Arabidopsis thaliana: one gene and its partner. The protein of the gene in region 1 purifies or fractionates together with the protein of each later gene. This does not show direct contact. Each region holds a gene or a part of one and is shown on either strand. Other genes may lie near its edges. The genes, in order: STN7 and PSAF.

Region 1 (16,788 bases):
TTCATTAATACACCTATATACTGTAATATTTTCACGAAACTTTTAAACATTTACAAAAAATGAAGAGATTAACTTTGAAACGGAAGAGTGTTAATTACTTAATTATGTATGTTTTGTTTGTTTGTCAACGAAGAGTATTATTTTTTTATATACTAATATGAAGACAAAACATATAATTCCATGTCACCTCGTAATCTCGTATGTTGTAAAAAAAATATCTCTATCCAATAGTATTTCACTACCTAGTTTAAATCGCATTCTCTATAATACGTTACCATATTCCCCAAATTACCCTTAGCTATGACCATAGTCGCTGGCTCGCTGCAAAAAGTGAAAGGGGTATATAGGTAAAAAAGGATAAATTAACAGAGAGAGGAAGGGCTTTGGCGTGGAAGCTCAGCTTTTCTCCGAGTCGGGAAAATGTCTTTTTCTCGAAAGAATAAATCTTTTTCTCTTCTCTCTGTGTTACCCTCTTGAAATTTTCCGCGAAAAATCTCAACTTTTCCATCTGAAAACCCCCCAAAATCAAACAATTGGATCTTGATTTTTAGCTGTGATTTAGTGATTAAGAGGCTTAGGGTTTGTGGCGAAATGTTGGTACAGAGAAGAGTAATGAGTTGGAGAAGAGTCTGGAAGTCGTTTCAAGCGGCTTCTGCGCATTGTTTACTCTTCTCCTTCACGCTTCTTCTCGCTTTGAAGCTTGATCATGTTGTTTCTCATTCATGGTGGTCAGTTTTTTTCTTCTTCTTCTTAAAGTTTCCGTCTTTGGTGGCTTGACTTCTGTTTTGTATTGTGAAATGTTTGAATTGATCGATTGGATTCTCAATTATGCAAATTCTCTTCTTGTAAAATTGGATTTTTTTTTGTCTTAAAGTTAAACTCTTTCTTAGGTTTATCACTTTGAATCTTTGGTGATGTATAAAGTAGAAGTAGTATCTTCAATACCATCCTTAAAGGTTAAGACTTTGATGTGGATAGCTTTCACTCTTCTTTAAGTATGTGTTGTTTTGTCTGTTTTTACAGGTTTGTATTTGCACCCTTGTGGTTGTTTCATGCTGTGATTGCTCGTGGTAGATTTTCATTGCCTGCTCCATCAATGCCTCATGATCGACATGTATGGCATTTTTATGATTCTCTTGTTTCATTTTGAACCTTTGATTCTTTGTTGTGTTTAAGTCCTAACTTGGTCTTGTGGCAGTGGGCTCCTTTTCACTCGGTTATGGCAACACCACTTCTTGTTGCTTTTGAGATCCTTCTCTGTGTACATCTTGAAGATAAATATGGTATTTTCCATGACTTCTATTCATTGAATCACGGCATGTATGATTGGTGGGTTTATTATAGGCTTTGGTTGTGCTCCTCTGTTTGCAGTTGTTGACTTAAAGATTGTCTTTCTACCGTTGCTTGCATTTGAGGTAGCAATTTTGATAGATAATGTCAGGTATTCCATTCAAAGCTTTTTTGATTTTGTTCACCCTTCTTACTACTCTTAGAGTACGGAACAATTAAATCTTTTTTGCAACTATTCCTGCAGAATGTGCAGGACGCTCATGCCTGGAGATGAAGAAACTATGAGTGATGAAGCCATATGGGAAACACTTCCTGTAATCAAAGCTCGACAAGTTTAAAATATGATCCCTTATATTTCTCTTTTAACTTGTCTCTGCAGGTTGTCTCTGACATTGTCTAATGGTTTTGTAGCATTTCTGGGTTTCCATATCTATGGTTTTCTTCATTGCCGCAACAACCTTCACTCTTCTTAAATTATGTGGTATGTTACGCTTTTACTTAACTATCTTTTTTGGAGTTAGTGATCTTCTCCCTTCCAACTGCAATCTTATAGGTGTCACTTCCATGTCCTTAGTTCAACTTAAAAGATTAAAAGAAGAAAAGTAATTTTAGGTTGTTATGATATCTGGTGACTGCATGTTCTAACAGTTAGCGTGCGTGTGTGTGTGTAATTTTGTAAAATCGACTGCATACTCATAACTGTTGTTCTGCTTCATAATCTCTCTATCTCAATCTGTTTCTGAATCTGTTATCTTTCGAGTCCTTATATAGGTGACGTAGCTGCGTTGGGATGGTGGGACTTATTTATAAACTTCGGGTAAACTACTTTTTCTCTTTAAGATCTTCTGCCTCTTAAAAATGTCTTCTGTGCCAGGTTTGAACAATCTTCTTTCTCCTCAATTCACAGAATAGCAGAGTGCTTTGCGTTTCTTGTCTGTACAAAGTGGAGCAATCAGTCAATTCATAGGTATTCACATATACCGGAACCTAGCTCATCTTCAATGGTAGTAAGATATCTGGATTGGAACAGAGGTCTAGTAGTAACCGCTGACGACGAGCATCAGCAAAGCAACAGAATATGTGGTCTCCAAGATATTGGTGGACATGTTATGAAAATTCCATTTGTGACCTTTCAAATCATCCTTTTCATGCGCTTAGAGGTACAACACAGACAAATCCATTGCTTTTGAAACATTTACGAATTCCCTGGTTGGAGCTAATTCTCTTTAATCTTACTTCAGGGAACGCCAGCTTCTGCCAAAAACATTCCGATTTTAGTTCTGTTTGTACCTCTTTTTCTGTTACAAGGAGCTGGGGTACTTTTTGCTATGTATAGATTGGTTGAGAAATCAGTCTTATTAATAAATAGTGGTAGTGGTTCTTATGGAAGATATTTTACCGCAACATCATCAGCTCGTGAATTCCTGGGATTCTTTCAACATGGTGCAAGGTACGTTAGCAGAAACGAACTATACATAGGAATCTATGGGGAATAAGTCCTCCTAAGTACTAATCTTTCTCATATTGTAAATCACAGATTACTTGGCTGGTGGTCTATCGATGAAGGAAGTCGGGAAGAACAAGCAAGGCTCTACTCTGGAGAAGCTACTGGGTAAAGCTCTCATCTTTTGCTAACAAGTCGTCAATTTGGCTCTGTTAACAACAATTTTGTTTGACTCAGATACAACACCTTCTCACCAGAGGTTGTGAAGAAAATGCCAAAGTCTGATCTTGTTGAAGAGGTAAGTTACACATAAGTCATTTCCTTTTTAATATCTGAAACCAAAGCAAAATCTTTAATCTTTAAATCCCTCACCAGATATGGAGACTTCAAGCTGCATTGAGTGAGCAAACAGATATCACCAGTTATAGCCAGCAAGAGTACGAAAGGCTTCAAAACGTACTCCCTCCACTCATTTTCTCTGTTTAGTAACCTCCACAGAAGTAACGATTTGCTTAACCCAATAAATTACAAAATTTTGAATTTCAGGAGAAGATTCTTTGTAGAGTTTGCTTTGAAGATCCGATCAACGTGGTTCTACTCCCATGTAGACATCACGTCCTCTGCAGGTAAACCGAAGCTCCTTCTTTGTTCTCTATCTCACTTTAACCGCATAGTAGAATTAGCATTTGGCTATAATTGATATTTTACTGATACATTTGGTTTTCAGTACATGCTGCGAGAAATGCAAGAAATGTCCGATTTGTCGTGTCCTGATCGAGGAGCGTATGCCTGTATACGATGTGTAGATTTCAGAGCTCCAATCCAGAAATGAAGAATACATTTCTTGCTTGTTTGGTTTTGTTTTAGTAATGAAGCAAGCACTATATATATATATGTTACAACTTGCATAGGAAAAATTCTGATTCGTTTTCGAGTGGATGTAAATAATACTGTAAACCATCGTATATGTCATGAATCTTCTTTCTCTCTTTTTTTTTTTTTGATCATACAATTTGCAAAGATTCATACAAGTGGTAACGGTTAAGAAATAAAACATATTACTGTTAAAGGATTTTGAATCGAGGTTAGGCAGTGAGCATCCAAAAAAGCTTTTCTGTTCTCTGCATGTTTAAAGGAACAAGGGAATGATCAACTAAGAATATGGCCACAAACCGATGAGATTGATCAACAGATTGGGTATTTGATCAAAGTTACATATTGGGCCTCAACTATGTATTTCTAATGTGATTCTAACATGGTTCTTCTTTTTGGTATGTTTGGGCTGTTAGCCGAATGTGACTTAAAAGGCTTTGTAACAATTTATTTCTCATGCATTTAATAGAAAAATCAATTATAAAAAAACAATATCAAAACAAATTTTGTGTTTTAAAAGATCTCTAAACTCTTATTTTCTGGTATTTTTGTCTATAGTCCGCCGCATTTTTATATAAAAAGAGTTGGTGATAATGTAATTGATTTTTGTTATTATTCTGTTGTGAATTAAACTCATTTTGACAAAAAAGAATTAGAATTGTACCTTTATAAATGGTGAAGAAAATATGATGGATCATGCATGTTATTTATTCTATTTCTTCTCAATATATTTTGATAGTAAAAAAATTAGAATTGTACCTTTATAAATTGTTTGGTGTGAACTGTGAAGGTCATTATATCGGAAGCAAAATTAAAGAAACTTAATCAGCAATAAACAGCAAAAGATATCGATTAATAAGTTACAAATATACATCTGAAAAAACCTTCTTTGGGATGAAAAATCTACTACAAAAAAGGAATACATATATAGCTCCGTTTAGAAGCCAATACATATAAAAGCTTTCTTCCCAAGGGTTGGTTATAAGTAAGACCCGCAACAAAAAAAGAGGAAAAAGGAAGAAAATCTTTGGTTAGTCTTCATTAAGCTGATGATGATGATGTTGATAATGATTTGATTTTAGTCATGCCAACAAAGAAGCATGACAACACACCTCCTTATGATGTAAAGCTTAGCCTTTTGCTCTCTAACCACTCCTCCCACTCCACGGCTCCACATCTTCCTCTTTGTTCCTCCTACACTCGAACCGGTCGTCTTCATTTTCTCTATAACGATCACAAATCAAGAATGTGTAATTTGTTTTGGAACTGAATGTGAAAGAGAGAGATATAAATGATGTTATGGAGTATGAAGAAGGTGATACATGAAGAGGAGTTATATATAGAAGTGAGAAAAAGGTGGTGGCTAAGGACAGAAACCGAACCGTACCGAACTAGACCGGTCCATGAAAGAGGCAACGAGTGGGTCCGTTGGGGTTTGTGCACTGTTCCCTAACCCACCGGACACTGTGCCCCTCCATACCCACGTGGACCCCATCTTTTGAAGGAATCTTTGCCCTAAATGTGATTATTTATCCTCTATCACATGCTTTTGCTTCTCTCTCTTCATGAAAACATTAACCAAACCCAAAATTGTTAAAGTCGGATCCACTCAATTACCATTTTCTGTAACCAATGAATACTATACCGAATTCGATTGGTTTAGTCTTTCATATAATGGATTTTGTCTAAAATCTTAAGTGTATCAGTCTTTGATATGGTTTTGTCTAAAATCCTAAGTGTATACCAACCCGTATTCGAAGTTAGCAAAAGATGTGACCAACCAAAATTGTCGGGAACTACTATACTAACCATCCAAAATCGACAAGTGGCCTGGTCCCCGCAACATATTGTAAATCATATTTGAGATTTAATGATGATTGCGATTGATAATAATAACTAATGAAGAATAACATTAAATTCCTTTAATTAATAGACATAGGTTAAATAGTTGTTGCGACTTGTGAGCTAGTGATATTTCCATAGCGACCAATTGTAGTTTAGAAGTAATATATACACTAGTAAAATCTGGTAGCCACATGGAGAAATATTCAAAGGATCGAATTTTATGTTTAGTCTATTTCAGTCAGATATAAATTATTGGTAGACAAATTGTATGAAGTTCTGTAGAGTATAAAAATGCATTGCGCCGAAATTGGTGATAGAAACAATTAAACAAACGTCAATAACAGTATTAAAGACCAAACTATATAACTAAATGTGGGACAGTTAGGCGTTAATTAGGTGGCATAATCCTAAGTTCTAGATTCTTCTAAATATAATAAGTGAGATTGTATCAATCTTTTACCAAAAACCCGACAAATAGTTGGTATGATTTGAGAAGTAAATCATCTTCTTCTTTTTTTCAATTCACATTAATCGTTAACAACTCAAAACAAAGGGTATTAAAATTAGCACTGGAAGATCTTATCCTACAGCTATATCACAGCTTCATAGTTAACGTTAAGATTGAAGTTAATTAAATAATTAGCTACACAAATAACCAAGTAGAGCTAGGTGTGGTTTGATGTGGTTTACTGGCTGTTGTCATTGGTTAAAGTGAAGTCCTCGAATATGGAGAGTGGAACCGCACGTGAGGTTCTCGTGATTCACAAAATGCCTTTAGCTTTTGGTCGTCTAAAAGAACAAGTTTTAGAAAATACTAAAAGTTACACTTATCTTTTTTAATCTATGGTTAAGTATGTGAGTTGGTCTCTGTCATTCTTCTTTCTTTGAAATCTTGTCGTCCTTTTATGAACCAACTTTTTCTTCACCTCTAGTGGTTGTGACCAATTTAAACAAATTAATTAGTATTTGCGTTTCTGTGTACGTAATTAATAAAAAGTTACGTACGTGTGCTTTGTGCGATGGATAAACGTGAGAGTGATCATTATACCTTTTAGATCCAACAAAGCTCAAACAACTACATTCATGAATGATATACAAAAAAAAAAAACTACATTCATGAATGATATATATACCATTTTTATACGGTTTCATAACGTGAAAAAATGATTCTCATATACACCTTTTCATCGTCATCAATTCTTATATAATTTTGAAAAATGATTCCACTAGTTGGTGGTATGCCAAAAAAACAGAACTAGAAGAAAAAATTAAACCACTTTCTGTTAACGTTTTACGACTATTCAACTAGAAGCTATTCGACCATTGAACTATCTATTCTGCTATATTAATTCGAAGCCCTACTCCAAAAAATGTTAGATGCTATTGTTATATTGGGTTATAATATAAAATCTGCTAAAAGCAAGCCATAAAATTATGTATTAGAGTATTAAATGCATGTGCTCTGAGTGAAAAAAAAAAAAGGTTGAGTTAGAGAAACGACTCCAGCTTCAATGGCGTACGAACGGAATTTGTTTAGACAAATTAAAATAGACAATTACTTACCTCGAGAGCCAGCAAGCTATATTGCTTGACCAGAGACTTCTCTGACTCTTCGTGCGTAGCTCATGGTTTTTCACTTCTCAGGTCCGAAGCCCGAAAGGGTAACGTGCTGTTCAAGATACCTTCTTTCTGTTTTTGTTTTTTTAATTGAGGGTTTCACAAATTCCTAGGACATAAACAAGTATTCACAAAGTTATGAAACTTCAGAAACAGAGTCAGAGACTCCCAAGTTTGTGGATTTAGGTACAATACATCTTTTTCTTTAAGATTACTTGATTTTACAAGTAGTAGAAATTTTACTAAGGGCTAATAAGATATACATTGAGATTTACACTATCGAAACCGAAATGAAAAATGATATATTGTAAGTAGAGTCTGTCCTCACTCCTCTCTGGGGATCCATCGGTTCCACCAAACGGTCTTGCGGCCATCGCTAATCTCATCTATGGTCTCAGTGACTGTTTTCACAAGCTTCCTCTGAAGCCTAAGTGCTGATGCAAGAGCATTTCTTTGCGCATTCGCTTTCTTTCGAGGCTCTTTCTCCTATAATATTACAAAAAGAGAAACAATGGTTAAGGCTTGAGGAGGTACTCGAAGAAAATGAAAAGAGTATAGATTGACAACGAACCCTGAGTTCTTGGAGTTGTGTTTCTGTGAATCCACCATCTTTTTCTGTCCCATTTTTTGCCATTAACTGTATTACCCAATTTGCTGCTTCACTGTAGTCCTGTTGTGTAGCCCTGAAGTATTGCATTCTCAAGTTTTGCATGACGGACAACGCGAGCAATCCTTGTCTATCGAAATATGGGTGAGCAAGAGCTGCTTTTGCGCTGATTCTTTGTCTTGCTTTGTACCGGACCATCGATGTTAGAAGTTCCCATCCGATTCCACCGTCTAGATCTACAAGCTCGAACCCTCTACGGAGATCAGCGCTTGCACGAGGCTCCACTAGTTTTCTCCAAGCTGTTAAGTCATAGTCACATCTTTTCAGCTGGCGGTTGAACTGAATGAGGTTGCTGTCAGATCGTAAGGATGGGAATGCCTGGAATGGTAAAGCATGATGAGAATATTAACAGATAGTATGTATGATGGATTCGTTTTCCATCACAAGGAAGCTGATAAGAACGAAACTGGTTTCTGCTCTGATAATCGAAGAAGGGATGATAAAAAACAAGAACAATCAAAACAACAGAACCAAAAGTAATCCAGGGCAATGAATTCTAGAGCATTCCCTACTCTCCCAAGGCTCAAACTAACACCCCTAGAAACCTGAAAGAGCTCCTATTTTACTCTAATCCTAGTCACTGACTGATGAACGCATTTTTAACATTAATTGACACAACCAGAACACACGGACTATGGGCTTGTCAAAAGATAGTTGAACATGCGTGAGTCGAAAATCCAGAGAAAACTAAAGCCAATTGGTGAATCGCTGCTTACCATTTGAAGGAAGATGAGGCCAATGCTATAGATATCGAACCTATCTGGCAAATTCATCTGTTTGGACAAAACAATAAGTATCAAATTCCAACACTTAAGTTTATGAAACTAGGATAGCTTTATATCAACTAAGGTCGCATAGTCAAACAATTAAGTTTGCACCTGCCACAGGACAGGGGAAAGTGCAGCTGCAACAGGTGCTGAAGGTGCAGATGGAGTTTGGGTGCTCATGATGTATTGCTCAGGTGCTGCATACCTGAAAGCAACAACCCGAAAAGAAAGATACTTATTAACGGAGAAACGTGAAGTTTACAACAACAGAAAGTTCACATTTATGATCCTTGCCAGAGAAAGATACAAATTTTGAAAAGAAAAAGACCTTGGATCAAGGAGAAACTCTTTTGGAATGTAGTTAATTCCCACTCTCAAATCAGCTGCAGCTCCAAGATCGATAATCTTGAAAGAACGAGAACCTGCTCAAGTTTTAGTCGACACAAAACATGAGTCCTCATCTTTTCATTGGGTTCATTGCTCAAAAAGGTTCAAGAACTCAGATGATTTTACCTTCTGAGAAAATAATGTTCTGAGGCTTAACATCCCTATGGATAATCCCAGTTGAGTGAAGACCATCCAATGCAAACAAGAGTTGTCTCATGATAGTCTGAATAATTTTGTTTTCTCGTTCCAACCCTTTAGGCAAGTCTTGAACTTTCCCAAGGATGATAGTTTCTACCTATATCATCACCTTAGAATGTGACAAAACATATAACATAACTACAAAAGGATAAATAACCATGAAGAATCACATACATTATAAGGAAATTCTTTACTCTGCATCAAACCAGCAAGTGTTGATTCTCCTTCATATTTCCATAACAGCCAATACTCAGGTCCCTTCTTTGAAGACTTCTATACCAATCTCAACAAACACCAAAATCATAAATCAAGGAAGTCGAAGGAAAACATCATTTCAGAGGAAGAGAAATTACATCGAGAAATCCATAAACAAAATCAGCACAGCTATTCCCACAAGCTCTTCGAACCCTCTCGTTCATCCAAATCTCCACCGCACCATACTCAGTCGCCTTCTTCAATACATACTCACCCTCCTATCAACAAAGACCATGATAAGGTTCAATATAGGATAGTGAAACTCTATAAACAATTTGATCAAAGCTTTTATTTTTACCTCATTAGAACGTTTCTTAGATAATGAGACTTTATAAACAACACCAAAAGAACCTTCCCCTAATTTCTTCCCAACAACAAAATCATCCTACACAAAAACCAAAACCTAATCCCATCAAAATCAACCAAACCAAGAGACAAAACCCAAAAACAATCCTCAAATCATCATAAAAATCAAACCTTTCTAAAAGTAGGTCGAAACAATCTCTCAACAAAAGCAAGAACAAACATATCGAAAAACCCAGGAGCAACACCAGGTGTTGCCCATAGATACGAAAGAGCAGTGAGAGCTAAAGCTACTCCAGGAGCAGTGATCGTTAAACCATTAGATTTCGGCAAAGTACTTCGATATATCATATCACCACACTCCATAACCGTACATGGAAGTCCAACTCCAACTCCGATGAAGAGATTGTGAACCGTATCGATCAATTGAGCGCGACAACTGGAATTGAGCTTAACCGTTGGTTTAAAACTCAAAATCGGTGAAGTTAGAGAGAAAGGTTTGAGTTTTTTGCCGAGAAACGGTGAGGGAGTTCCGATGTAAGCTCCTCCCGGAGATATTGTAGCCATGGCGGAATTTTTTTCACCGGAAGAATTTTGTTGGAAGACAAAAAATCAAAATTCCTTAAACAGTCGTTGATTTCGCACCACTAGTTTTTTTTTTTTTTTTTTTCTGTTCATTCAAATTAATTAGTAGATTTACACCACAAAGGACACGTCGATTAAAATCAGATTCGGATATGTAAGGTTTAATAAACGGGCTTATTTTTAGGCCCATTAATGATGAAGTGCTTATTAAATGGGCTTCTCATGTTGTTTTAGTGATAAGATCCATAAATCTAATTCTTCGCCACCCGATCATAAACTCTGGTTTAGAAAAGTCCCCATCAATTATCGATTTGAAGCTAAGTAAGACTCGGCTAATCTTAAGTTTAAATTTAAATTTGTTTTTCTTTCAGTCTTCCTAAAATGTATTTACGTCAATTGATGTGTATCACAAAATCTCACATTTTTAAATATATGATATTATATGGTATACCATTAAGCCATTGAAATAATAGAAATCAACTTTCTTGATGAAGTGTTTTGACCATTTCCGTACAACTATTATATGACAACGATTTGGCAAATTTGTTTACTTCGTTGACCTCGATGTACGTAAGCTAATTGACTTCATAATCCTGTTTGCGAGATAGTTAATTATATTTTCCCTTTCATAATTGTATATTATATGAAATTGGTGCTTTTAAACTCTTAACTAACATGCTACTCCCTATCAAAGTAATACTATATACTATCATTCTACAATAATGACTGTAGTAAAGTTTGTCACGCAATTGACCGACGCATTTATAAATATTTCTTGCCAACATTTAAGGCCAAAACTTGATGGTTCGTTATGAATCGATATAACAAATCACTGTTTGACATAGAAAAAACAAATACTATCAAATGTTAGACAAATGTTATATATAGTCCATATATATAATTACTTTCATTACTTGTATACTTTCTACTAGTTTTGTTGATGTTATGATACTCGTTTCGAATAATCAAGCGGATATTCAAAGATTTAATGCAGCTATCTGATCTTCTTAAGATATAAGAATTTTTTTTGACAAACATATATTTGATCACTATTTGGTGAATTGACAATTTGTATTTGCTTTACTAATTACGAAATTCTTTTATTTTGAAGCGGGTCGTACATCGACGAATGACATAACGGATAAATAACAGATGAGAAATATTATTCCCACCGATGACAAGTTATACAATGAATCCATAACGTGTATACTGATAAAAATATTTGTATTAGCACTGGAAAAGAAATGTGAAAAGAATCGTAAGAACATTGACCATAATGTACGCGCAACATATACAGCTTGTCTGTATCGACGTGGATACGTGATCAAAAGATACAGTCAAATATATTCTCATTTGCCTCACATGATATTATCATAGTACTAATCACTACATTAAGTCACGAATTAGCTAAACTAATCAATGATAATTTTATTTTCAGTTAGTTTTATTTATTTGTTGTTTTGCTCGGCTTTATGAACAGAACATCAAGTTGGACAAAGTCGCTTCATTTCCAGATAGTCACTTTTTTTTTTTTTTTTTTTTTTTTCAGATAGTCACTTTTACATAAAGTATTGATTTGATAAACTTTCAAGTTTATTTAGTTTTGAGTAAATCTAACAAATGCAAATTAGATTATTTGATTCAGCAACATGAAAAAAAAAATTAGCTTATCGTCTAATATTTTTACATAAATTCATTGTTGACAATATTATAAGTGAGATCATTTATATATATTGTAAACGGAAACAATAATATACTTATGTGTAAACATTACTTAGTGAGGTCATGGAAACTCGCTAACGAGTGGCTGCTGCAATTTACAAAAGTTTGATGTGTATAATATTTAATTAGTCGCACGCTAGTTAATATTTAAGTTTTCTTCTTTTCACTTTTGTATCCAATTATATAGTATGTAGGAGCCACAAAATTGAATCTATTAGTTAAATTAAGTTGGTTCTGGTGGTATAATCATTTAATTAAGTTAGTTCTGGTGGTCCAAAACTAGGCCACGAGTTTCATTATTCCACCAGAATTATATAATTTAGTTAGTCAAGTCTGATTAGCCGAAGATGGAAATACGAAAAAATGTCAATAATACATGAAGTCTTTGTCTTCTTACCAAAACTGTACGATCTCAACGATGGAAGATAAGAATCTAAAACCAACGAGTGAGATGGAATCGGAATATTACTAAAATTAGGATGAGATGAGGTTTGGGTCCATACTTAACAGTGACAAATGACAATGATGGAGCTGACTTTTTCGTTCTTAAAACGTATCACAAGTTTTCTCCTACTTTAAATTTCATCTCCAAATTGTTGACCAAACGACATCGTCTGTTGCGACACCTTACCCCGATGTTTTTTCCTACGTTGCATGGACCTTTTCTTATACTTTCAAATAATTATTTGTCTTTTTTTCTCAACATTTATATCCACATTTTAACGATTTTCTCAGGATATTTTCTATCAATATGCTTAATTTTCTTTCTTTTTTTGTTAAAGAAATTAATTCCCATAGTTAACATGAGAGGGTTTAGCAAAATATGCTTAATTTTCTTGTTCGCTGATGTTTTTATTTTTATTTATTATTACTGATTCAGCATTCAAACTTATCATGTGATTTGGATGGTTATTGAAGTTTCATATTAATTGATAAATTAAATGTGTTGGGATGATGAGAGGTGATATAGAAATACATATTGTAGTGTTTAAATAGATATGGATTCAAGTATATAATTAATTCTTCTTAATCAAATTAATTTGAGTTGGACTAGTAGTCTAGTAAGTAGTAAGAGAACATATTCGGATGGTATCTTAAATTTATGAAATACAGTGTGTTTTCAGTTTTTATTGGTAGCAACAAATTTATCGGTTCATACCTCAAAGATAGTATTATACGTGTCTACGATTATATAAAAAAATCAATACAAAATAATTGTTCATTCAAGAAACAATCGGACGATATGAACATTATAGTTACAAACTAGTAAAAAGCTATAAATATGTAAAGTGAAAACTATTTAAAAGGGTGAAAATTAAAACGTATCAACGTTGGAGTGTTTCAAAAATATTTGGTTGGATAAGCTCAAACTAGTCAAATTGTCTCCCCTCCCAAGCGGGAACATCACGCCATGTCCACAATAAATCCATTTTTCTTTCTCTCAAATATATATAGAGATACATACATCGATACTATTCTATATATTATGTAACAAATTAGAAATATCATATACCACATGGTAAGTTGTATAAAGAGAATTATTAGTGTTTGCTTATTGCAAAATTAATACAAAACATTTTCTATTGAAGAGCTACAAATTAAGAAGGAAACTGAAAAATATAATAAAAAGCAGAATATGTTACGATATTTGTATGAGTGTATGAGACAACAGTATCAGATAAGATCATAATCCTTGCGACCAACCTATCCAAAAGTCTCTTTTTTGTTTTCTAATCAATTTACAAAACATTTAACCAATAAAAATATAAAGATGGTGAAAAAAATATGGTCATACAACAATTGCTTCAAAGGGGGATGAACTAAAATATACCAAAAAAAGAAGTGAGGATAGGTTCATGTGAGCCCCCATCCCACTTGACCCTCTTGGTAGGTCCACATTTACCATGAACATGTAACCCATTGGTTATTCATTTGTATGTATTGTTTTTTGTCAATGACTTAATTTTATTTTATTTTCTTCTTCTCTGACTTTTTTTTGTTTATCTGACTCTTCTATGTATGTCAAAATGTAGCAAGATAATTGAACATATTTGGATTGTTGAAAAACATATCGATATTTAGTGAATTAGTTTCTCCTCCAAGCATCTAGAATGTCATAACTGTGTTGAATTGTACATAAAATTTGATATGGATTGATCATTGATAATAAATCAATGAATTAATGATCTATTAGAATATGAACTTTTCATTCAAATTTAATTGATAATAAGTGGATTTGTCTATATGTAATATTTTAGTCAAAAAAATTGTTTCTTTTCAATGCGATATTATTATCCTTAAAACGTTTTCTCGAGATAATTTTTTTCCGAGCCATTAATTTTAGTATGTTCAGATATAGATCGACAGAAAAACTATAATTACGTCGGACCAATTGTAGATTGGATTGAATACATATGGATCAGATTCTAATACCATATTAGAATATGAGGTATCTAATTCAAAACCAACTATTAATAAATAGATTGACTCATATATGTCTTATATACTAGTCAAGATTTCTTTGTCTTTTCTAATGTGGGATATTATTATCCCTAATATCATGAATAAAATCAAGAGTTAATGTTTAACTATATCTAATCTATACTACCCATCTTTTTTCGGAAACTATATATAAGTTATAAAACCAAGAAATTCTCGTTATCCAATAAAAATAATAATTTTGACTATGGTTATATATCAGTTTCAACAACTTATATGATGATTGATGAGAACCTTATTTTATGAAAGTACGTGGTAATGTGTTGTAAGAAAATGTTCTTACGCCGTTGAAATATTTTTCCAAAAAATGTACATAACAAACGTACGATATGTATGTAAAAGCCGTGGTACTACATTTATTTTTGTCTGCCCTTCTCGGAAACTTCCTTCAAAGTTATTTTTGCCGTTCTTGAAAGCGTTGACCCTACCTTTCCATTTTTAAAATGTTCTCTCATTTTGACCCATTTTTTTCCATAAACCAATCAAATTTTAACTTTCAAAAACATAAAACTAATTAGATATAAAATAATAACATGTACATGCACTTGCCTCGTCCATTCCTCACATCATCATATGTCTTTGTATATATATAGATGAACCAAAGAAATGAAAAAGTAACAACGTCACCTAAATCTCTCTCACCCAATTTGTGTTTCTTCTTTCTGCTAAAAGGTTATAATTTTTGTTTCTTGGTTTGGTGAGAATCTTCAAGAAACTGAAACAAAGAAAATGGATTCTAGTTGCATAGACGAGATAAGTTCCTCCACTTCAGAATCTTTCTCCGCCACCACCGCCAAGAAGCTCTCTCCTCCTCCCGCGGCGGCGTTACGCCTCTACCGGATGGGAAGCGGCGGGAGCAGCGTCGTGTTGGATCCCGAGAACGGCCTAGAGACGGAGTCACGAAAGCTACCATCTTCAAAATACAAAGGTGTTGTTCCTCAGCCTAACGGAAGATGGGGAGCTCAGATCTACGAGAAGCACCAACGAGTATGGCTCGGGACTTTCAACGAGCAAGAAGAAGCTGCTCGTTCCTACGACATCGCAGCTTGTAGATTCCGTGGCCGCGACGCCGTCGTCAACTTCAAGAACGTTCTGGAAGACGGCGATTTAGCTTTTCTTGAAGCTCACTCAAAGGCCGAGATCGTCGACATGTTGAGAAAACACACTTACGCCGACGAGCTTGAACAGAACAATAAACGGCAGTTGTTTCTCTCCGTCGACGCTAACGGAAAACGTAACGGATCGAGTACTACTCAAAACGACAAAGTTTTAAAGACGCGTGAAGTTCTTTTCGAGAAGGCTGTTACACCTAGCGACGTTGGGAAGCTAAACCGTCTCGTGATACCTAAACAACACGCCGAGAAACACTTTCCGTTACCGTCACCGTCACCGGCAGTGACTAAAGGAGTTTTGATCAACTTCGAAGACGTTAACGGTAAAGTGTGGAGGTTCCGTTACTCATACTGGAACAGTAGTCAAAGTTACGTGTTGACCAAGGGATGGAGTCGATTCGTCAAGGAGAAGAATCTTCGAGCCGGTGATGTTGTTACTTTCGAGAGATCGACCGGACTAGAGCGGCAGTTATATATTGATTGGAAAGTTCGGTCTGGTCCGAGAGAAAACCCGGTTCAGGTGGTGGTTCGGCTTTTCGGAGTTGATATCTTTAATGTGACCACCGTGAAGCCAAACGACGTCGTGGCCGTTTGCGGTGGAAAGAGATCTCGAGATGTTGATGATATGTTTGCGTTACGGTGTTCCAAGAAGCAGGCGATAATCAATGCTTTGTGACATATTTCCTTTTCCGATTTTATGCTTTCGTTTTTTAATTTTTTTTTTTTGTCAAGTTGTGTAGGTTGTGATTCATGCTAGGTTGTATTTAGGAAAAGAGATAAGACCAAAAAATAAATTGGAACAATGGTTTTGTGGAAAAGTGGTAAATAGACCTACCTCATAGTAAAACGTTACCGGATACAACCTAAATGTTTATCCGTTCCTAAAACTAGATGAATCAAATTAATTAACTATCTAAAATTGCATGATAAATCGGAAAAAGAGGATGAATTCTTGGCAATTTCATCCATTACCGTACAAGGACTTATTTCTCTTACTTGGCAACTAAAGGATGCTCATAGGTGTCTTAATGATCTCACATAGCAAGTTAGCAACCTTTTACTCTCTTTTTTTCCAAGATTACTCTACTCTAGGTGTTGCTTCTGTAATTCCTTTATTTTCATTTCTAATGATATTTACAAGTTTTGCAAAAAAAAAAAAAAAAAAAAGTTAGCAACCTTGGAGTCTCGACCAATCTTGAGGGGAGGATATGGCATGAATGATGT
Region 2 (15,098 bases), about 15 Mb from region 1:
ATATTAATCATAATTTAATTTCTTTTTATTATTTTTATTTCAACGTTCCTATTATTTGACCGCTTGTTATCAATCATAACCATAATTTTACAGCTCATTTTAATTTATTCACCTTCTCTTCTGCTTGCTCTAACAATTTTGTTCAACAACTGCTAAAAAAACTGTTAACTATATTTGTGAACGATGTTATCAATGGAACCCTCAGTCGTTTGGGTTGAGGAAATTAGAAAGTAACATTATTAAGTCAGGGAGAGGTTACAAAAAGAAGGGACAATAATAGGTAATCAATAGGGTTGTTGCATTCTTAATTTGACAAATTAACTACCACTGATTTTTATAATTACAACAAGAGTTGACCAATTGTAATAATAACACTCATGATGTAATGACAAAATTATATATTGCATGAGTAGTTTGTACATTATATTTCGTAAAAATGACTAATTCAAGGACCCCATATAATGATATATATACTCTACTTCTTAAGTAAAGTTACCCAAGTTTTGTTCCAAAAAAAAACGTATAGTTACCTAAGTATGACTATTAGAAGGGGGCTATTTAATTTAAGGATTGTCAAGAAATATTAAAAACTTTTCAAACAAGTGTTTTTTTATAATGTTAATTTATCCTCTTTACCTTTTAATTCAAATGTTGTTTTATATATAACTTAAATTTTGTTTGCTAACAAGTATAGCTTTAGGTTTTCAATATAGATTTTTGATAAAACTATCGTTTTAATGTATGAATAATGAAAAAAAAATAAATATAATAATAACTTAATAAGGGGTAAAATCCAAAGTTTGTTTTAGAAAGAAAAAAAAATATGTGAAAATTTTAAATGACACTTACTGTGGAACAGGTGGAGTATTACTCTTTAATTAACCACATTTTAGGTTATATTTTCCTAGACAAAGAATCCATAGGGATAAGGAGTGAATCCTGAACAAAACCCAATTGAGCCCAATGAATAAAAAAGACATCCAAAGTAGGTTTGAAGGAAAGGATAGTCCATGCTCCCTCCATGTAGAGTGAGTGATGGTAAGTAAATGTGTCTTATGAAGCTATCGACACCAAGTTGGAGATAAACAAAATTGAAAAGCCAATGTACGTATGATGTTGATTCAGGATTAAAAATTTATAATATGGTTATAAAGTAACATATATCGTGGATTTGAAATCTGAAAAAGTCACGTACTGTATGTTGAATATGTAAGGTGTGTTAATTGTAAATCATTATATAATAACAGGTTCAAAGAAAACGAGTAGCCACCTGCCGATGCAAATTTTTTTTTGCCAATTACAGACAAATCAAAGATTTGGGATTGGAGAGGAGAAGATCTATTGAAACCGACACATTAGGTCCAAAACATTTCATTTTAATTATTATGATTTAACGAAATAGTAAAATACATATATCAACCTTTTTGGTCCGGTCCCTGTTCTTACGTCTGTGATCATAAAGTATAGAGTGATTTTTTATTTTTTTTCATTATACAAATTACAAATGACTAATTTAATTAATTAGTGAACTTTTAATTTGTCGATAACCAATAAGAATGATGGAAAACGGCAAAAGAGTCGACTGTTGAAGTTTGTCGGAAAGACACTCCACCAAAATATAAATACAAATCTTATCACTAGTGGAAACTGTCGAGTGTGTGTAGTTCTCTTTTCCTTCTAATAAAAGAATATTATCTTTCTAAATTCTTCCAAATTCATTTTGGAATTTTCTTTCCTTTTTCTTTTTGTTGACATGAAATTTTGGAGTCTTCTTCTATCGCCAATTACGACTAAAAAAACGATTTTATATATATCAACATAGCTCTAACAAGAACATGATAATCGCAAATATACATAGATTTGCCTATTTGTACACAAGCAAAGTTAGTTTTAATACTCAGTATATTACATCTCATGAAAAGAATTTACAGTTTTTTCTATTAAAGCTGTGGGAGTTTTCTTCTAAAATGTTTTTTTTTGTCGTCCTTGTAAAATGTTCTACATTCGTCATTTTCAGGCTATCTTTGATTTCGAAAGCTGTGGGCGTTTTCTTTTTTTAATTTTTTTAATTTTTTTTTTTTTTTGTCTTTTTCTACGAAAATAAAATAGCGTGCACTGTATTGTTTCTTTCAACTTTATTTTTTGACTAGTGAAAGACTAGACATTTTGTTGCCCTGCCCCTATATTTTTTGTGTTTATTTTAAGGTTGTTTTTTCTCTTTTTATAATGACCGTAAAATGAGTTTTTACAAAATCTGCTTCAAATATGTAATGAAAACCTTGATAATATGTAAATGTACTAAAAACAAAATCTTGATATGGGTACATGTGAAAATAGTATATTTCTGTTCTAAGAATATACTGTTTTATGTTCTAAAATATCAACAAATAGATATCTTTGCATTTTTTTTTATACATCAATATTAGTATTACCTACATTGTCTAAGAGATGTAACCCAACTTATGTCGCAACTAGAACTACATCTCAGAAATCACCGAGCCGAGAGAAAATTGTAAGAGTCCTCGACCAGCAAAACGTAGGAACATCAACTCAAAGCAGTCGAGAATAAGAACCACTGACTTGCATCAAAACAGAAGATCTAACCACACCACACAGAATCCGAAAAGAAGACATCCACCATCGTTTAAACTTTCAACCCTTGACCCAACCACCGGTGATAAAGACTTGTCCATTATAGTTTACTAAAGTTTATGATCAAACTTAAAATATCTGTTGTTAGATTGATACCTCTAATTCCTTTGAATTGCTTCTTAGATTTCCACTTTACCCTTCCACGATTTTTAAGCAATGGAAAATTAAGTTTCATTTGTTTCAGATTTTAATATTAATCCCCTTCTATGCAAATTGAGGGACCACGTAGAAAGTTGTGAGAATCTCAATACACAAAAGATATAGAAACAATGATTACATGCACAAGCACGAGGCCATAAATTTCCTTATCCTATACACATTTTCAATAAAGATGTAACATTCCAAACAGAAAACCCTCTTGTAGCTCACTCTACAAAAAAAAGAGTATAGAATTCCAATATTAAAGTTTATAGGTCGACTATTTCAAAACCAATTGCTATAAAGTAAATTGATTAATATTTTTATACTCTCTTCGATTTATAATATAAGTTGTTTTGGACCAATTTTTTTGTTTTACAATTAAATTGTTTTTAAGTTTTTATGCAAACTATATATTTATTTTAATATTTTATAATTATTTATATTATGCAGTCTCTTTTGTGATTGGTTGAACTTTTTAAAAGTAAATATTCTTAATCTTCGTACTTTTAGGTAAAACAACTTATATTGTGAAACGGAGGGAGTATATCATTTACAATTTCTCTTTATTTAGTTTTGTGGTGATTCCGAATATTAATTACAACTTGTACCATTTAATTCAACCATATTCGAAGAAAACATTAAAGGCAAAACAAATTAAGGGGAAAAAGAAATCAAAAGTTAAAAAAAAAAATTAAGACCAATGAGAATAGATAAGGGGTAAAAGACAAAAAGAGAATATAAAAAAAACAAATAGCATTTGGCGCCAAAAGTAAAACTAAAATGGTCATGTCACGTGATGTTAATTTTTGCTCTACGACCAAAGCAAAACAAACCTAAAGTTTTCCAAATCTCTGGGTCCCACTCTCAGATGTGCTGACTTTTATTTTTTTTACTTTTGTCTTAAATCTTTGGAAATTTTCAGTTTTAATTTAATTTAATTCATCTCTCTTTCTCACTCTATAAATCCCCACAGATCCGTCACACTTCACCTAGAGACCCTCCCACAGCTTTCTCGATAACTGACAATCCAACGGTTGAGATTCAGTTCTTCTAGATAAATTCACATATCCAAAGGACACGTGGCGGCGAGAGATGAAAGAAAGTAGCCGGAAGCAAGGAGCTGCGTCACCGTGTGCTGCGTGTAAGCTTTTGCGGCGGCGGTGCGCTCAAGATTGCGTTTTCTCGCCGTATTTTCCGGCCGATGAGCCTCAGAAATTTGCTAATGTTCATAGAGTGTTCGGTGCTAGCAACGTCAACAAGATGCTTCAGGTTTCTTTCTTCTTGTTCTTCTTAAGAATATCTAAAACGTGCTTACTCATATGTTGGGTTAGGTTTAATTAGGATGATTTTCTTGTTTCTTATTTTAGATGAGACATTACTATCATTTCCATAACTTTTTATTGACAACTACCACATGGGCCGACCCGTTTATATTATAAGTTTAGGGATTTAAAAACAAAATTGTTGAATTTTAAGAATTTAGGAATATGTTACATTTATTAGCTGATGTTGAATTTTAACCATATTAACTTTTGTTAGCTAATGTTAATGATATGATTTACATTTCTTAGCTAGCTGATGTAGAGTCTACATTTGAGATGGATTATATAAATTTTATATAGTCTTGCGAGATTAATTGGTCTAGTGGCTGACAAAATGTTTTAAAAACTCAACAGGAATTACCAATCCACCAGCGAGGGGACGCTGTGAGCAGCATGGTTTACGAGGCTAATGCAAGAGTGCGGGATCCGGTTTACGGTTGCGTTGGGGCAATTTCGTCCCTCCAGCAACAGATAGATGTGTTGCAAGCTCAGCTAGCTCTAGCTCAAGCTGAGGTGGTGCATCTACGTGTACGCCAGTCGACTAATTTCCCAGGGCACGGACTATGCCCGGATAGTCCGAGTAGCAGCGGGTCACCGTCTTCGAAGCAAGTGAGTCCACAGGACAACAAGGGCATGTTTAGCCATATGGACATTGTGGATGAAGCCAGTTTGGGAGAGTCTATGTGGTCTTGCTAGTCAATAATGCTCTCTTTCTGCTACTGCAATTTCCTCTTCCTTTTTTGGGAAATTTCGGGATTATTATATATTAAATTTAGGGGTAGGATATGAAAATGCTCTGTTTTGACTACAGAGTGAAATTATTAACATGATATAGATACATAAAAATACTAAATATATTTATATATTATAAATCTCTCTCTATATATTTATTAGTATTTGTAACTTTGTAATTCCGGGGTATTTGGGATTTGGTGTATGTGTAGGACCTTTGGATCATGATCCGGTAGGGTTATTTTGATCATTTCCAACCGAGGAGGGATCTTTGTTATTGACCTAATGTAAATTTGTGAGATATATTATTTATCTATATCTATATACAATTATGATCATGTAACCCATGGTGTGTGCTTGACTCTGTGAGCATATTATCGTGTAATGGTCATCTTTGATACTAGCTAAGTCTAGCTTAGCAATTAGCACTAAGCACTTGTATGGGCCTGAATTTTTATTATGCAAACTTATGGCCCATTTGTCTTTATTTTTTGGTTTCCTTGCAAACATTTGCCATTTGATAGTCGCTGATAGAATCGCTCGCATATGAAGGAAACAGAAAGACCGGACCGGAGCATGTGCTTGTGGTAAGAAATTTACAGTGAGCTTAAGAAGAAACACAAGTAATTTAGTCTATTATAGTTCAAGAGCTTCTCCTGCATTCATGCAAATGCAAGAGTGGTAAAATAGCATTATACTAAGTAAATTTGGTTATGCTCCTGTGCGTTATATCAGGATATTCCCTTCAAGCAATTGAGCTTCACATAGCAATCACTAGACCGCAAAATCACAATCTGTCAATCACCATTTTAGCCATAATTCTTTCTACTTGCGCAATCCAAATTTTATAAGGTTTTCGACAATGCATTGTTTTTCAATAAGTACAATGGAAAACAAAGAGATTAGAGAGAGTAACACAAAAGCAGAAAACAAGTTCCCTTTTTAAACATCCTTAGCAATGAGATCACCATTGAGAAACTCTCTGTAGGCAGCAACGGGCCAAATGAAACCACGGAAGATGATCCGACTAGCCAAAGGAACATCGATGATGATCTCTTTCATCGCGGGTTTCTTCTCACCACTAATAGCTATTAAGTAGCTTCTTCCAACCCACCCGATCCATCCAGCAATGTAGAGGAAAAGAATCCCTGGAGTAATGAACTCTCCCCAATGCCGCTGGTCTCCGTTCACTATCAAGTGCGGTAAACCGTCTGACCCGCATAACAATCCGTACTTCCCGTAGTTGTCGAACCTAACATACATTCATAAGCACATCAACTTCAAACCAATCCACAGTTCCACAAGCTCCTCAATAGATCATATCAATGATCAAATTTAACATGTCTAGCAACTTCGAAAACTCACTAACTCACCAAAAAAATCATACTAAAGCAATGGATCTAGCAAGTAATTCACTAAAACAGAGAAAAACTCTGTTTCAGAACAGAGGAAAGCTCTGTTTCAGAACAGAGAAAAAGCTCTGGTTTAACGAAGAAATAGAAATGGAAGACGAACCTGCGTTTGGTTTTCTCGATCTGAGCATTGAGAGCAAGAGCAGGGGCAGATTCAGGAGCGTAGAGCTTAAGAGAAGATTCAAGCTTCTTGATCTGTTGCTTCTCTCTTTTAGCGAACTGTTTTGAGTCCTTGCAAGGAGTCAAACCTGAGATATCAGCGACAGCTGGCATAGGAGCAGAGAGGAGGATGGAAGAGAGGGCGACGGCGGCGGAGAAAGCTTTCATGGATTGAGGTGTGGAGGAGGAGGATTTGTCATCGGAGCAGACGAATCTTGCGGAGGATTTAGGTACGGATTGAGTGAGAGATTTGTTAGATCTCGGGTTGAGAACGAGATTCGCCGGGATAGTGAGCGACATGGCGCTTTGTCGGGTTCTTTGGAGATTTCGAATTCTAGGGTTCTGGAGTTTTGGGTGAAGTGTGGAGAGAAGACTTATGGGAGGAGCTTTAGATTCTTGAGGGGATTAGTGGAGGGAGAGGAAGATAAGAGAAGTGGTCTTGGGGTGATGAGGTGGCGTGTTGTGATTGGTTGATAAGTAACATGTCACTGGATAAGAGATTTTGCCGCGGATTTTAATAGTTTTGTCATTTTGATGTTCAAGATATGTGGACTACACACGACTTATCTTTTATTTATTTTTAATATCTATACATATTATATATACACTGAAAATAATCATATATATATATATATGTAGCAAAAAAAAAAAGAGATGTAGTTTTTTAGTCCTGATTAGTTTTTTTTTTGGCAAATAGTCCTGATTAGTAAGACTGCAAAATTGAGTCTTTTATTGGTTAACCACATAATAAGAAAATGGGATCATGAGTTTGCAATATCAAAGAATTAAATCTATATATGACCAAAATAAACATTAGCAGAATTACAACTCCTTCTACCATTCCGCCGGAAGGAGGCTACATTTTTTGTAATGTTTGTTTGAAATGCTTCACAGATATCTTCTGATAAGATCTCTTGATCTGTCTCTGAAGTCTCAACACCTTAATTAGGGTTTCATCTCTTAAGATATGCTTTTCTTTAAAGTTTTACCATTTTTTCAATGTATTAACTGTCTATTTCCTGGCAGAAGAAACAAATTTCTTCACATTTACCCATATATATATTGTTTATAGCAAAAATATTTCGTCTTTTTTTTTTTGGTCTAATTATATCCGAGAGGAGAATTTGGTTGTGTTACCACATCATACTTTGAAGTTTGAACTCGTTGAATTAATAACACGCAGTTCTGATATATATTATTCTTTTGTGAAAGAAGTTCTGATATATTTCTAGATGTTTTTTTTCCTTTTTTTTCTTTTCTAGATGTTTCTTATAGAATAATCAATGTGTAAACCATTACTAGCTTTCTTATTTACATCAAAGAGATAGGAAAATACACAAATAAAGAAGGAAATTCATCCCAAGAAAACTAAAGACAATCAAAAGATTACAAGTTACAACAATTCACAATAAGTCAAACAAAAGCATCTTCCAATAGAGACAAGCAAGACAGACAAAGAAGAGAAAATGAAGGAAAATCAGACGTTGTGAGAATTGTCGGGCTTGGCGTGTGGAGACAACGGCGGAGAGGAGGCGGCGATAGCACCGGGAGGCGGAGCTGGAGCTCCATACACCTGAGGATTTGTACGGATCTCACGACGGCCGCGAGATTTTCCGAGGAAGTAGCAGCCAAATCCGAGAAGTAGACAGAAGAAAATTAGAGGCAGAGATATGACCACAACCAAACCCATCGATCTTGACTCTTGAGATCTATGTTCAATCTTCTTTCTGATTGATTTTTATTCTTGGACTCTTGTTCTTGCTTTGATTCTACTTCACATGTATTTATATGTATGAGTTTGTGGGAGGCTCTGGAAGGATCCGATTCTGTCCGCAACGTTTATGTCTTGTAAAGCTTTAAAGCTTAACGTTTAAATCTCAACGGTCATCTTTTTTTTTGGTCGGCCCATCCATACGATTTCTTCTAGTTTTTATAATCACATTAGTCATGTCTCATGTGCTTTTCTGGCTATGAAAGTATAGAGAATCAAACTCAAGTTGACAAGTTAAGTTACTTAGAAAATTAAAGTAAAAATTGTTAAATGTGATGGACACTCATTGGATTTGACGATTTGTAACCACTATTTCATTGTAATGCAAATAAATATGGGACTATTGATGGACTCATGCAACCAGCAATCTCAATCGGCCTGGTCCGATCTTACACATAGCTCGATCCTATTTTCACATGTCTAGCCTCTTTCTTGAATGAAAGATATTCATCATAAATAGCTAAATCCCAAATAAATATGTTAAAGTACGATTCGATGTTAAACAAAACAAAATGATTCGATATTTAACAGATTATTGGTAAAATGATCCAAACCCAGTGAAACAGCATAATATTCAAAGTATCATATCCAAATTGCAATCACTTTTTTCCCATGAACTCCAACAAGCCATACAAAGAGAAAAAGATATCTTCAAGAGTTACTTCTCAGAGAAGACCAAAACCACCCCTAAGGGCAAGAACCAGATGAAGAACAGAGCCTCCCTCTATGTTGTAGTCCTTTGCCGTTTTGTCATCAGCTAGCTGTTTTCCGGCGTAGATTAGCCTGCAAACATCCATGAGATATATAAGCATCCTAGAAATACTAATGAGAATCACTGTTATATGAGACAGCATAGATTATCAGCTTGCACGCAGAGTAGAATCGTTTGATGCCAAAAGCATAAGTAAACACACTCGAAAGGAGCTGCAATTTTCTCAAGAGGGAAGCAGCCAGTCACTAAAACATGAAAATCAAGTCAATGAACCGCAACTTATACAATCAAGTAAAAGAGCTGAGCTGAAAGGAGCTGCAATTTTCACAAGAGGGGCAAGTCACTAAAACATGAAACTCAAGTCAATAAACTGCAACCTATCTTATACAATCAGTTTTGACTCAACCACACAAACAACTCTAAGAGAGCTGAGACAGATATCACAAAGAGTTAATATAGTTCAAGACTCAATGTTCCCAAGGCAAAAACTTTGCGACTCAATTCTTCTGAAGTAACTGGAAAAAAAGAAGTTATTTACCTTTGTTGAACAGGAGGGATACCTTCTTTCTCCTCAACACGTTCCTTAATCCGATCAATAGTATCGGTTGGTTCGATATCAATCTCAATTTCCTTCCCTGTGAGAGTCTTCACCTTAATCATAGTCCCACCCCTAAGCCTCAATACCAAGTGAAGAGTCGATTCTTTCTGAATGTTGTAATCCGCTAATGTTCTACCATCTTCAAGCTGCTTACCAGCAAATATCAACCTCTGTTGATCAGGTGGTATTCCCTCTTTGTCCTGTTTTCATCAAATCCCATCCATTCATAAACCAATTAGAAGAAGACCAAATCAAAAGATCATTAACAATAATCTTAATCCAATCTTCTTAAACTCAGAAACAATTAACCATTCTCAAGCAATTCACATACCTTCAAGTGTACCATAAAACATAAACAAATACGAAATTAAGCAAACACATGAAGGATTAAGAGAGCCTTTGTGCTTACTGTTACACAGAAATCTAAAGAAATCTTAACATCGATCGCTAGATAATCGGGGAAAGAAAACCTAAAAATCAATCAAACAAAGCAAACCAATCTGTGTCTCCAACAATCAAACAAATTCATAGTGCAAAACCCTAGAATCCTAAGAAAAGCACGAGGAGGTGGAATTGGGAGACGGAGAAAGAGAGAAAGAGAAACCTGAATTTTGGCTTTGACATTGTCGATGGTGTCGCTGCTTTCGACCTCTAGGGTTATGGTTTTTCCGGTGAGGGTTTTGACGAAGATCTGCATTTTTTTTTTCCTTTCTTCGCTGAAATGGTGTTTATGAATATTATTACGGACGGGAAAAGTATTATATATATACAAATAAAATTTGGGATATAGTTTTGAGGATTTTGGAATAAAAATACTTTTTGAAAGATTTGGAATAAATCCTTTGATAGAATTCGTAATTAGCTTTTGGGCTACGCTATTATTTCTTCTCCATTTCTTATATAATTTTACTAACAATTTTAAAAATTATCTTTAAATCAAATATATTAATGTGGCTTTAAATATATTGAGATTTTTTTGTTTGTTTGTTATTTTAGGATATTTAACTTTTAAAAACAAAAATTAAAAGAGTTTTTAGATTTTGTACTAAAATTAGTTTTCTTAGATTTTAAGAAAATATGGGGACATTGAATTTTTTTTTTAGTTTTAGAACCAAAAACGAAAACAACAAATTGTTGACATTCAATTTTGTTGGAATCTAGAGCTTAGTGCAAAACCCACTAGTCTCTACATACTATGGACCATGTTGTGGCAGTGAGTGGTTTGACGCGAAACCTCTTAAATACTATGGTCAAAGAGATCAAGCTATGTTCAATTTTAGACGGTGATAAACCTGAAAGGTCAAATGGAAGAATCTTAAAAGCTCGACAACATTTCATTGGACTTGAATGGGTTGTCTCTCTAGCTAGCGTTTTGTTATTATAAACGCAGACTCATCGTGAAAGAATTCACCCTTTCATGTAGGTATTGGAGACGCTTCACGCTTGTTTGGACCATATGTGTATCCCAATGGCATCATACCAAAATTAAAGACATCTCTCTAACCGTTTTCTTCTCAACCACTAAAAAGCCTTTTCACCATCTTTATTCAAACTTGTTCACATATAGAACCCATGTGATTTTAAAAGTATGAACCATATGATAGATTACAAGATGGTCCACATTGACGTGAAGAGCTCATATAAAAGATGGCCTTTATTTCTTGTCAATTTATCACAAAGAGGTCTCTCATTAAGCCCAATGGATCGGATAATTTTAAATCCAACCCAATAGATCACTTTTCTCAATTCTCTATTCTAAGGTTTTTAAGCTTTGGTTTCTACATATAAATTCAATTAATTTTCTGCTGATTTTTTATTTTCACTGACATATGTTAGCTTTCTGAAAGTTGGTTTCAGTCAATTGAAAATTGAAATCAGTTATTCAACACCACAATAAAGATGCAACGAAAAAACAAAAACAAGTTACACATAGCTAACGCCTTACAATGCATGAGAGGACTTTATAAAATAGGTGATTCTTATCCATATTTTTGTATGTCTACATCTTGAGTTGTTGAATAAACGTGGTTTGTTCTGGTTTACTCCAAGTTGGTGAGTCTCTTAACATTATAGCATCACCGATGGCTTTTGGTCAGTTTTGGTATGCTTAATCAATCTCCATAAAATAGAACAGATAATAGGTAAATGAACCATTATAAATCTCATCAAACTTAAATATTAACTTAAAATCAAATGATAAAATGAATCGACTCCCCAATGTATATATGAATAAAAGGTTTAAATGCATGTAGCGGACGAAATTCGCTAAACGATTAGCGAATTAGATTATTATATTTTTGGGATAGATAACAATCTATTGTATACCAAATTTATTTCTATGTACAAACGGATCATAGTTAGTCCGCATCAGATTTGTTATATTTTTTGACATGTACTACTATAAATTATACTAGAGGTTCACTCCATAAACGGATTCGTCCACTCCAACTATCGTAACCATTCGTATCCAAAATTTTATTTTATTTGATATGTGAAATTTCTAATAATTGTACGTTGATTCATAAAGGAGAGAGAGATATTCCATATTTCCACAACCAAACAGATTTTTATTTTTAACTACGAGTTGAATAAAAATTATATAAAGTTGTATACCATAAATTAAGATTAAAAAATTCTGACGTGTATTGTCTTTTCATTTGCAGTGCAGGTATTAAAAAATAACGACAAGATGACACTTTTCCACCAGAAAAACGGGAAAACAGAAAATAAAAAAAGTTCCGTATACTAAAGGAAAAGAATAATAATAATAATAATAATAATATCACAAAAAAAATACGTCAGCAAAAATTCGGTTGACTCATTCTTGGTAAAACATGAACCGAAACCGGTTCAAGTCCATCAGGAATCTCAACATTCCAAATCTTCGCCGGCTCCGCCGCAACATCCACCACAACAATTTTCCCATCACCAGTAACAACACAAAGTTTACCGGAATCCGCCGTTACTTGCGTAGCTCCTTTAAGCATCTCTTCTCCACCTTCAACCACAACCACTTCTCTCCACTCTCTCTTCTCATCATCGTACTTTCTCACTGTCCCTCTCCTCTCATCCACCGAATAAAGAATCTCCTCCTCCATCGCCGCAACCGGGCCTCTCCATCCAACCAACATCTCCTCCGGCATAGGTTCCCAATCATCTTTAACGACGTCGTATATAGCTCCTTCTTTAACCGCGTCTCCTTTAACATTTACCATTAAAAGCTTTCTTCTATATCCAACAGCGTCTATAGCTTCTCGACTAAACCGTAAATCTCTCATATCTCTCAATTTCTCCCAATTAAACCGGTGGTTATTCCGGTTTTGTTCGGTTAGATCTAATTTCTCGACAGATTTCGCGACGGTTGATGAGAACTGAGAACTAATTCCGCTTGCGATGTAGATAGCTCCGTCGCAAGCTCCGGTGGCGCACCACCGTCTTGGAGATCCGATTCGAGGACCGGAGCTCCAGGATGACGAAATTGGATCGAAAATTAACGGGTGAGAGATCGCCGGAGAGAGTTGTTGGTTACTTCCGGCGATGAGAATGAGTTTTCCGGCGGCGGAGACGCATTGAATCGGTAAATTAAAGGAGATAAACGACGGATGACGGTAAAGAATCCGGTGAAGAGGCGGGTCAGGTGGTGGAGGAGGAAGCGGATACCATTTTGAAGAAACCGGGTTGAAACACATAAACCGGACTGACGGGTTGACCCGACCCGTATCCGATGTTGAATCGACGAAAAGAGCGTAGAGTGACGGAAACGAAGGAAATTCCGGCGAGTAAAGAAGACGGCGCCACCGTGTACACACGGCGGAGAGTAACGACGGACGGTGAACGAGAGACAGACAGATCTCTGAGATGTGATCGGGAAGTCCTTCGATTAAAGCGGAGTTTTCATTTCCGGTGACTGTTCTTCTTCGTTTCGCCGGCGGTGATTCTGCGGCGGTGGTTGACATTGATTCACGCCGTTTCAGTTTTTTTTCCATCTCTCTCTTTTTTTGTTTTTGTTTTTTTTTGGAGTTATTAAAGAGAGATAAAGGAGGCGTGAAGTGTAATGAATGAGAGGGAAAAGTAAGTAAAGGCGTAGGAGCCATACATATATCAAAATCGAAAAGGCCAAAGTTGGAAAGTGTTACCATCTCTATCATAAATACGTAAAGCTAACTTATAAAATTAAAATTATACATTTATAGCATCACATATGATTATAGTATTCAAGTGGCTATAGAGAATTTTATCAGTAAAATAATATTAGTTATATTTGATTATCTTATACAGTATTTTAGTTTCAGAAGCCTATCAAGTATCAACCATTAAACAAAGACGTGAAGACTAGAGATTTTTAGTAAGAATTGTGGTTGGTTTCCATCGAGATCAATTTTTAATATCGAAAAAGAACCGGTGAACAGAAATAAAATTTATTTTGTAAAAACTTAGTTTTGTTGGCTTAAGCTTTTAAAATATGTGACTTCATCCTATTTAAAATATACTCATGAAAAAAACAAGAATTAACTATATTAGGGTTACTTTAGCCTTTTTGCGGATGAGATAAAAAAAAAAAAGCAGAGAAAAATCACCATAATAATTATTATTTTTTAACTCTATCACCATAATTTTTTAATTAAAAAGAATTCTCATAAACATAAAAAATAGATGAAAGAAAAAAAGAAGAAGCTGACAAGTAAGTAAAGGGTAAAGGGGAGAACCTAATCTTCTAATTATAAAATTCTATTGGCATTTAGTCATTATTAACTTATTTCCATTTTCTTCATTGTCAATTTGTCATACAATGCAAATCTATATTATAATTATATGTTATTTTCTACATTTCTATATGAATAAATTTACAAAGTTTCCACTTTCATCTTTGTGCTAGTGTGTATAATCCATATTAATATTATGTGCGCATCTTATTGGATAATATTTTTGTTGATTCATTGATAATTATGATAAGGTCCAAAATCTCCCTTTTTAGAGCAACTTCTATTATTATTTTTTATTTTTCTGGAAGGAAAAAAAAAAGTGACAGAGACATCCGTTTGGTGTGTGATCCAGATCCAGCCTTCTTTTCCCAATCTTCTCAATAATGGATATGCGTTGGATTTTAACGTACATCAATCGTTTCTTTCTCCTGAACGATCAAGTTAGTTTGATGTGTGGTGCACTGCTGCTAAATATTAATTATTCGATGTGTTTATAATCTCTGTCTAACTGTTCATTGTTCAAGTCTTCCTTTTATATAAGTCATTGAATTATAACATAAATTACTATAATTTTTTTAAAAGAAAACTATCCAAACTAAGGCAAGAAGTTATTCAATCTACAATTTTATGTACTTGTGGGTTTAGCTCGAACACTTTAATATAGTATCCCGATTGCTTAAAGATCTTTACAGTTCAATATCTAGTGTGTGGCAGTATAAGAAAATAACTTCAACTAGTAGAATAGTTTAAGAATTGAAAAAGAATACCATGTAACAATTTTATGTTTATGCATAAACTTGAATAAATAAATTTGCATCGCATATGATACGGTTCATTAAAGATATTGGTATAGCATTTTTTCATAGACCTTTTGACGTTTAAATTATAATGTTTTT

What was found.
Region 2: the proteins of STN7 (region 1) and PSAF fractionate together in Arabidopsis thaliana (co-fractionation; one study listed by BioGRID). This does not show direct contact.

Annotation. Positions count from the first base shown.
Region 1 is NC_003070.9:25,865,261-25,882,048, forward strand, and holds STN7 (Serine/Threonine kinase domain protein), read right to left. Parts: upstream 10,403-16,788; 5' UTR 10,214-10,402; coding exon 9,821-10,213; intron 9,729-9,820; coding exon 9,642-9,728; intron 9,562-9,641; coding exon 9,442-9,561; intron 9,362-9,441; coding exon 9,263-9,361; intron 9,186-9,262; coding exon 9,017-9,185; intron 8,926-9,016; coding exon 8,832-8,925; intron 8,709-8,831; coding exon 8,615-8,708; intron 8,510-8,614; coding exon 8,453-8,509; intron 8,055-8,452; coding exon 7,641-8,054; intron 7,556-7,640; coding exon 7,394-7,555; 3' UTR 7,152-7,393; downstream 1-7,151. Other genes in the region: AT1G68820 (Transmembrane Fragile-X-F-associated protein), read left to right, coding at 592-728, 1,024-1,114, 1,199-1,283, 1,372-1,441, 1,535-1,622, 1,702-1,771, 2,062-2,107, 2,198-2,450 and 6 more; RTFL15 (ROTUNDIFOLIA like 15), read right to left, coding at 4,686-4,826; RAV2 (uncharacterized protein), read left to right, coding at 15,182-16,240. UniProt on the Arabidopsis thaliana protein: Serine/threonine protein kinase required for state transition by phosphorylating light-harvesting complex II outer antennae (LCHII).
Region 2 is NC_003070.9:11,209,222-11,224,319, forward strand, and holds PSAF (photosystem I subunit F), read right to left. Parts: upstream 6,921-15,098; 5' UTR 6,719-6,920; coding exon 6,363-6,718; intron 6,100-6,362; coding exon 5,790-6,099; 3' UTR 5,455-5,789; downstream 1-5,454. Other genes in the region: LBD4 (LOB domain-containing protein 4), read left to right, coding at 3,886-4,062, 4,470-4,811; AT1G31335 (uncharacterized protein), read right to left, coding at 7,896-8,108; RUB1 (uncharacterized protein), read right to left, coding at 8,855-8,972, 9,440-9,699, 10,104-10,196; KUF1 (KAR-UP F-box 1), read right to left, coding at 12,298-13,593. UniProt on the Arabidopsis thaliana protein: Participates in efficiency of electron transfer from plastocyanin to P700 (or cytochrome c553 in algae and cyanobacteria). This plastocyanin-docking protein contributes to the specific association of plastocyanin to PSI.